Linked DNA regions of Neurospora crassa OR74A. The protein of the gene in region 1 interacts with the protein of each later gene in a biochemical or structural test. Links are inferred from orthologs where the notes say so. Each region holds a gene or a part of one and is shown on either strand. Other genes may lie near its edges.

The links. The genes of interacting proteins can lie anywhere in the genome.
Region 2: the proteins of NCU04507 (region 1) and NCU06859 form a complex in vitro, tested with the Saccharomyces cerevisiae proteins (2 studies listed by BioGRID). The link is inferred for Neurospora crassa OR74A from reciprocal best matches to the Saccharomyces cerevisiae genes NPA3 and RBA50.

The regions. Positions count from the first base shown.
Region 1 is NC_026504.1:3,142,491-3,146,172, forward strand, and holds NCU04507 (ATP binding protein), read right to left. Parts: upstream 2,383-3,682; 5' UTR 2,136-2,382; coding exon 2,063-2,135; intron 1,988-2,062; coding exon 861-1,987; 3' UTR 691-860; downstream 1-690. Other genes in the region: NCU04508 (hypothetical protein), read left to right, coding at 1-158, 246-270; NCU04506 (hypothetical protein), read left to right, coding at 3,653-3,682. UniProt on the Saccharomyces cerevisiae protein: Small GTPase required for proper nuclear import of RNA polymerase II (RNAPII). May act at an RNAP assembly step prior to nuclear import. Promotes sister chromatid separation during anaphase.
Region 2 is NC_026507.1:529,994-534,402, reverse strand, and holds NCU06859 (hypothetical protein), read right to left. Parts: upstream 2,730-4,409; 5' UTR 2,494-2,729; coding exon 1,024-2,493; 3' UTR 576-1,023; downstream 1-575. UniProt on the Saccharomyces cerevisiae protein: Forms an interface between the RNA polymerase II enzyme and chaperone/scaffolding proteins, suggesting that it is required to connect RNA polymerase II to regulators of protein complex formation.

The DNA.
Region 1 (3,682 bases):
ACCACCGGTGCCTCTAACAACGACGGCAACAGCGGTGGCAGCAGCGTCATGTGGTACACTTGCGGCGACTGCGCGGTCCGCGTGCCGCTCGAGAAGGGCGCTCCTATCCGTTGCCAGAAGTGCGGTGCGCGTGTTTTGTATAAGGAGCGCACCAAGAGGTACGTTTTCTTTGGGCTTACCCGGTGGAAGATTCTGAGAAGGTGGGAGAGAAAAATCTTATGCTAACGACGGTCTGGGGGTAATAGAATGGTTCAGTTCGAGGCTCGGTAAATGGTTTCTTATTCGACTTTGTTCGACTTGGGGCCAACAAAGGAGGTGTAGAAAGGGGTCGCTCTTCCTCGATGCCGTATCGGGCTGAAGTTTTCATCGTATTTGGACCGGCCGGGATGTCCTGATGCCCAAGGACGGGAGCCGAGTCAGCCTTGGAGGCAACGGGAACATTTGTCGAGGGGAGCTGGGACCGTAGGAGACTCGAACCGTCGATATCTTGGTGTGATTTTGCACCATTAGCGGTGGCTTAGCATGGCCCAGCCTTGAACCTACGGCTTGTTGTGATCAGAAGAAGGGAGATATCATATTCATCACAATATCATGATGGCGGCGTTCTGGGAAATATCGGTAGACTTGTGGGAATTTATACAAAGAAAGCATTGCTTTTCATCATCGTCATCATCACCTATCACCATCAGATGGATCCGTTCTGTGATGCTTCTCATTATTGATCATGTTTTTTGCCATATAGAATATTGGTATGGTATCACTCTGAAAACGCCGGTTGTATGCTAAATCTCCTTCCCTCTCGATCACTTGTCTTGCCAACACTGCTCCATAAATCCTTTCCTTACCAATGGCCAATCTCATCACCTCTGGCTGTGGAGGTACTTTGCAAAACTTGCGTCGGCCAAAACCGAATCATCCTCGCCCTGCATGGCAGCGGCGTACCTCGCCTGCAATCCCTCGCGGTCATACTCGTCGTTGGGATCGTCACCATATTCCTCGTCGCTGCTCTCCTCGTCCGTGCTCAACGGCTCGGGGGCCTCTTTATCATTGACGTCACCCACTGTGACGTCGCCCGCCGCGTCGCCCATCGACATTCCCTTCATCATTTTGTTGAGTTCCCTCTCCCGCGCCTTCTTCTTGTTCTCCTCCCTTTCTTCGCGCCTCCTCTCGAGCTCAGGCTGGTAATCGCGCTTGAACTCCTCTGCCTTCTCCTGAACCGCGGCAAAGAACTCGTCAATGCCCGTCCCGTACAGCGAACTGACGCCCACCACGTTCAGATGTGCGTAAAACTCCTCCAACATCAGACTCATGCTGTTCAACAGCGAGCCCATGTATCCGCTGCCCGAGCCCATGCCATCGCCGCTGCCCTCCGCTCCGCCAAACGCGTTGTTGGTCTCGTCCTCCTGCAGCGCAGCCTGGAACGCATCATAGTCGGTCATCCACTCCTTTGCAAAAGCCGGGTCCTTAACGTCCGACTTGTTGAAGACCAGAATCATGGGCAGCTTGGTCTTGTAAAGGATACTGCAGGCGTACAGCATGTTGCTCATGAAGGTCGACGTCGAGCTCGTCCGGGGGGTGTCGATGATGTAGGCGATGACGGTGGGGAAGGATGAGGCGAGCGACTCAAGGAGAATCTGGCCCGACGCGGACCAGACGAACACCTCGATCTGGCCCGGCGTGTCGACGAGAATGTGCTTGATGGGCGTGTGCGTCGGGTCGTCGGGCTTGGGCGCCGTGCGCTTCTCGAGCAGGCCGAGAACCTGGTCGACTTTGGTGGCAAAGAGGTTCAGCGATGTGAGAATGCCGCCGTTGGGGCCGAGGTTGTACTGCTTCATCACCTCCTTGTAGTTGACCGAGTCGCGGATGTCAATGTTGCTCTCGAAGGGCGAGTGGGTGACTGCTGGGTCGAGGTTGATGACATAAGGAGGCTCCTTCTTTCCGTGGAGATGGGCATTGATCTGTTGCATAAAGGTTGTCTTGCCGGATCCTGGGGAACATGGTCAGCTGGATGATTCCGCTTGCGGTTGGGAAAAGCACAGAACATGAGCATGCGTAGACCTACCTGCCATGCCAACGCAGACGATGGCAACAGGCTGGTCAGCCTTGGCGGCAGACGATGCCGAAGTCGAAGCCATGGTGCGACAGCTGTGCACGGGTGCGTGGAAGATCGTTTGGTGATCTCTGTGTTATCTGTCGGATAAAATCAAAGTTGTTGCAGATTTCAGTTTGCGCAGAGATGGTGTTGTAATGAGTCTCGGGAAGAAAGTTTCACGGATGTCGTAAGCGGCGGGGTCACTGCTGTAGGGATGGTCATAGGTGGTTGCGACGGAGTGAATGTCCGAGGGCCACAGAGGGGCAACACCGCAAGAGAAAAAAAAAAACAAAAAAAAACCAAAGTCCATTGATCGCCTGGCGTAGCGGGCGGAAAGGTTCCATCCATCAAGGCATGGGTGGGGTGAAGGGTAGGTAAGGCTTGGCATTTTGTTTTCCCCAAAGTGAAATGACTGAAACCTCGACATTGGTCTCTTTTCATCCTCTCACCCATTCATCTTCCAACTACCTACGCCTTCATGTTCCTCGACATCCAATCCATATCTGGCCGGCTCGCATCTCATCCATCATCTTTTTACCAATTTGGAACTAAATCAGTTGGCGACCTATACCCTGTTATCATGCCTATATCAAAAGCCCATATGGCCTGCTTGACAGCTTCTTGTTTTCAGCCGAGCCGCTGTTAATCCGCGAATACCACAGCCCTCAACCGCCGCAGTAGCTAGTCGACACTCGACCTAGTAACTTGGCGGTCCCGCTCTTCAAGTTATACCCCGGTATTATGGGTGCCTGGATATTTTAGGATCTCAACGGCTGGATGGCATAGCACTTGCCGCGGGCAGACAAGCCCCGAAGGCTTCATCGACCTCACAGGCTATTGTTCAATGAAGTCTGTCCACTTGTCCAGTTTCAACTAATCCTTTCACGCCTAGCAATGAAGCCGGATACGGATGCTTTTTGGACAATTCGGGGAGTCGTCGAGTGGCAATTTGATACTGCTGAACGAGACCGGGATAAGCGATGGGAGAAAAGGCGTCTCACGTCATCTTCGGAAAAGGTCAGGAACTATAGGCAGGATGCTGGCGGGGGCGATTCACCAATGCCAATGACCGCTAAACCCATGCTAAGCGTATGGTCGGTGGTCCCGCGCTGGGGAGTGGGCGCAGCCGGTGGCCTCTTATTGCGTCAAAATTCTCTTCAAAATGGTGGGTGATGGGAGCTGGGTTGGTCCAATAAGCCACAAACGTAATGGCAAGATCCGTCTGTTCGGCACTACCAGGAGGCAGCGTGGCCGGGAACCAAGCGGCCATCCACAGGCTGCCCCTCATGATACTCAGCCCTACCAACCTACCTCTACCACGTTCTATCCATTATACTCCAAGCTGACCCCCAAGATCCGTTTGAATTCTCTCCCTCCCACTTCCTCTCTTGTTTCGTCTCTCGTCCCACACCAGGGCCAGATTCATCATCCGACTTGGGCCAAATTCCAGCGACTCATCAAATCCAGGCTTCGGAGATCGGCTACTATACCCTGCCCACACCTCTATAGAGGTGAATAAACTTTCATTTATCGGTGTTACATATCTACCCACAGCATCCAATGTCCACCATGTTGCGCAAGAAGGAAGCC
Region 2 (4,409 bases), on another chromosome or scaffold:
GTCTTCTCTACCTATCTTCTCTCTAACCTAAGAAGTAACTAGCCTAACGTTCGTGAGAGTGCAAACGCCTCCCTTAGAAAGGAGATCACTTAGGCTACAGTACTCCCCAGGATTCAACAAAGATCAAACTTGCAACTCGGTGACTTCCAAGGTACCCAATCTAATCAGAGATACGAAACAGATATCTTTGTCATGATTAGACTCCCTCCTAGGCAAGGAGGCATATATAGTAATGTCAAGTACAACAAGTCTTGCTTGGCCTGGTCGTATAGTGGAAATATGATTGAAGTATGTGACATACGGAAGTAGGACACTGTAGGAAGAGGAATAAGTAGTCTAGAGTACTTGGAGTGAAAGTGAGAGTGAAGTAACGGAAGGAAGAAATTAAATATCATGAGTTGGTCGGATACATCAGATACCTCTGTCAGGTTGATCATAGCCCGTCTGAATTCTCAACAACTGAAGTATGGACTCCCTTTCTAGAGGGTTGGGGTTTCTAGGGAGTAGGTAGCCACTGAAGATATAAATAGGAAAGTGAACCTAAATCGTGATTCAGCATGTCTAGAATCTAAGGATCGATGTGATATAGACTAGTTATTCGGTGGAAAATTGTGTTGTAGGAATAATGTACAGTGAAAGAAATGAAGTTCTTCTGCATGGGATATACTAAGTGCGGGTATGCAGGAAGAGACCCCGAGCTTCATAGGCGAGGTAAGCTGCAACCGACCCGACCAAAGGAGACAATTTATTTTGTGTACAATGTTAGGCCACTTGATGAGTATGAAAAATTGCAATTTGACACCACCAGAGGGGTATGAAACCTGGAAAATAACACCAACCAAAAAAAATCAGTGATCCGCCCCCATCGATCCATTTCCATTTTACCCTATCCCTTACCGGCCAGCCGGTCAGTCGGTCGGTGTCCCATCCCATCCCATACCCATTTCCTACTATACTACAAGGCACAAGTTTTCCACGACTCTTATCCATATTCTCTTTTTTTTCGTTTTCATCCAACCCCGCTCACAAACCTCTCCACTTCTCCTTCCACCCACCCTTCTCAAACAACCACATGGCCTCAATAGCATACGCCCTCACACTCACACTGCCCACCCCCTCCTCCACATCCGCCGCCTCCCCGATACTCTCCAACACCCTTCCCTCCTGAAAACACCTCCACAGCGCAAACGCCAAATCATCCTCATCACCATCCCTACCGCCCGCACCCGTTCCCCACTCCCCCTTTCCCAGACGATACAGCATCCTCCCCAGCGTCCTAAACGCAATGCACCTCTGACTATTCACACTACTCCTCGCCAGCCTCGCCAGCTCGGGGATCGTGTACCCGGCTGCCTCGGGCGCCTCGCCGTGGTGATGCAGGCCCTTGGACACGGGAATCTGGCGCGACAGACGGGGCGGGATGAGTCGCCCCTTGAAGTCGAAGCGGAGCGCCGAGACGGGCAGCGAGGTCTGGCCCGGGTAGTAAGGGGATTCCTGGTCGGCGGGCGAGTCTTCGGTGGGGATGGGCGCCATCCAGGCGAGCTTGGAGGGGTCGGCGGGAAGCGAAGGGAAGAACTTTTGGTGCAGGGTGGCGAGGAAGTCGGGGTCTGAAGGGTCGAGGTCGGGAGGGGCGGGGGCGGCGGGGAAGTGTACGCCTTTGAGCTCTTCGTCGTCGCCGTGGTTGTGGGAGGGGTCGTTGCATTGGTGCGTTGTGGTGGGAGTTTGGGGTTCGGAGGAGGAGCCGCCGGCGGTGGGCATGGCAAGGTCTTCGGCGGAGAAGCTGGTCTTTTGGGGGTAGGGCGTGGGTGGCTGTTTGGATCGGATGGGGAAGCTGCCGGAGGGAGGCTGTTCGGGGGCGAGGTCTTCGTTGAAGGTGACGGTCTTTTTGGGTTTCTTGGGTTGGTCTTCGGTCATTTCCTCATCTTCGTCTTGTACGTATGCGTTTTTCGAGCTCGAGGTCTGGATGGAGGGTGGCTTCTTGTAGGAGATGGTGGGACCGCTGCCGACGTCGGCCCTCTTTTCCGTTGGCTCCTCGTCGGCCGGTTTCTCGGGAATGTCCCAGACTTTGGGGTCGTTGTTGTTGGAGCCGTCCTCGACGTTGGCTCGTCGGAGAAGCATCTGGATAAGCTTGGGGTCAAGGCCACTGAAGAGCTCTCGTTGGGCTTCGGCAATCTCTTCTGGCGACATGGAGCTCAGGAGCTTGTTGTTCTCCTCGTCAATCCTCTGCTTTTCGGATTTGATAGGGTCCGCGTCGATCTGGGGCCTCGCGCCGCTGGTGAACTGGATGGCTGGTGATGGTACTGGTGTGGTCGCTTGGGATGACGAGGACGATGGGTCTGCTTGTTGCTGTCGCTGCTTTTTGAAGGCAGACACTCGTTTCTTGGGAGCGGGAAAGCCTCCGGAGGAAGCAGGCGGCGGCGTTGGGAACGCGGGAGGCTTGACCTCGCCCACTTTGCGTTCCTTGACATCGAGGATTTCGAGAGTGCCGTCCATTGTGTTGAGGCCGTTATGATGTGTCGCGGTCGTTTTGTATCTTTGTTATCGGCGTTTGTCAATCAGAGTTGAACGAGTTGGACTGTTTGGTTGATGGTGATGATGATGGTGATGGCGAATAATGGGGGATAATGTATGCGGCGCTCAAAGAAAGCCGTGGATGGAGCCGTGGATTCTCTTTGATACAGATTCGGTCATCCGGCATAAAGTTCAAAGAAATGCAACGAGGGGCTTCCTTCCCTTCAAGTTGCCTGCCGAACGAAAAGAATTGTCAGCGGCGGATCCCGGCGGCTTTAACGACCTACTATGTAAGCCAGCACTGCATTAGCGGCGATCCAAGACACGGGGAGTACACAGTATTCATGCTAGTATTTACAGTGCATTACCGTACCGTGCGCGGCTTGGGGTTTCATTTGGCCCCGTTTTCGTCGTCTGTTTCGCGTTTCGTATTCCGGAATACCAACATGCACATGGATTGTGGCCGCTGGTCCGATGGTCTCCAAGGGAAGAGATCAGCATGAGATGAGCTTGTTTCCGACATTCTCGTCGACTATGCCAAGTGAGCTCATGTCGATTTCCTCTTTGTCAGTCAGTCACTTGATGGCATCTTGGCGGCCGTGTGCTTTGTGTTTGCCGGGTTGGTGGTTGCGTTACATACCTACCTATGTACTGAGCGTGAGTGGGTGTCTTGAGATCTTGTCATTCGACGTTACACCAAGATAATGCGGCCAGGGCCTATCAACACACCGGCTGCAGTACGCACGCAGAAAGAGCGTAATTCGGAATCGCAATCTGGTGCTGTAATTTCATACCTAGGTACGTATTACCACTGCAAGCAGAGTGTGCCTTTCCCCGGCCCCAGGCTACACTATGAATTCAAGTTCTTCCAACAATGGAAATCGTAGCCGCGACGACATCATTTTCACTCCAAAGGTACGTTCGTGTGGCTGACCAGCCGAAACCAGCCGCATTGACGAGTGTGACGTACCGGCAACTGAAATTTGGAATGGCCACTGCACTGCAGAGTTCAGTTCAGTTTCGTCGCGGTTATTGTGTCGCTAGCCAAGTGGGTCGCACAAGCGCGGCTCCAAATGTCGCGCAGCATCCATCCAGAGAATCTGGAATCACGGTACGTACCGGTACGAGCGCTCGTACCTGACAAGGGGTCTGAGATCTTGGAGGTGGCCCGTGTGTCTTCCGCTTCTTATCGCATCTTGTTCATTGCGCTAGCACGGCGAGCACGGGGGACCCTCGTCTGGTTCGTACTGTGTTGTCCTCTTTTTGAGTCTCGGCTTCAGTTTCCTCGCTCAACGGGTGAATTCCCAAAAGTCAACCTGACATCAAACCGGCAGTTTACAATTCAAAACACTTTAGCTCTGCGGGCAACTTATCTATGAGGCAAGGTTCACTTTCATTACCTCGCTAGTTTTAAAGTTGAATCGACATCTCCTATTCTTCCCATGGTCGCCCGGTTAGTCAGCCGTGCAGCGGTGCGCGCCGTGTGGAGTCATGCATCACCTCCAACCCGACTTGAACCCCAAACGGATCGGGTCCAGTCACTCACAGCGGAGGTCACTTTTTCCCAAGAACCCCAAAAAGAAGCCCTGTGGCCCCTGCGAGGTGTTGCAGTCCAGTCGGCCGTCCATTGATGGGCCGTGGGAGTGTAACCTTGTTTCTCCATCTGCCCTTTCTGCCATTCCCATTGGTCCAAAATGCTAGCATCTCTTGGCATTTTCCTTTTATTCCTGTCTATCGCTCGCACTCGCTTCTTGTATTTTCCCGTTTCCCTCTCTCACAAGCCACCACCCGCACATGGATCGATGTCTGCTGCTACTAACTGCTTGGCATAAGTGATAAGTAGCAGCACTTGGAGTCTGTGCCTCCATTTTGCCTTTTCCTCCAAACCCCCCCACCCA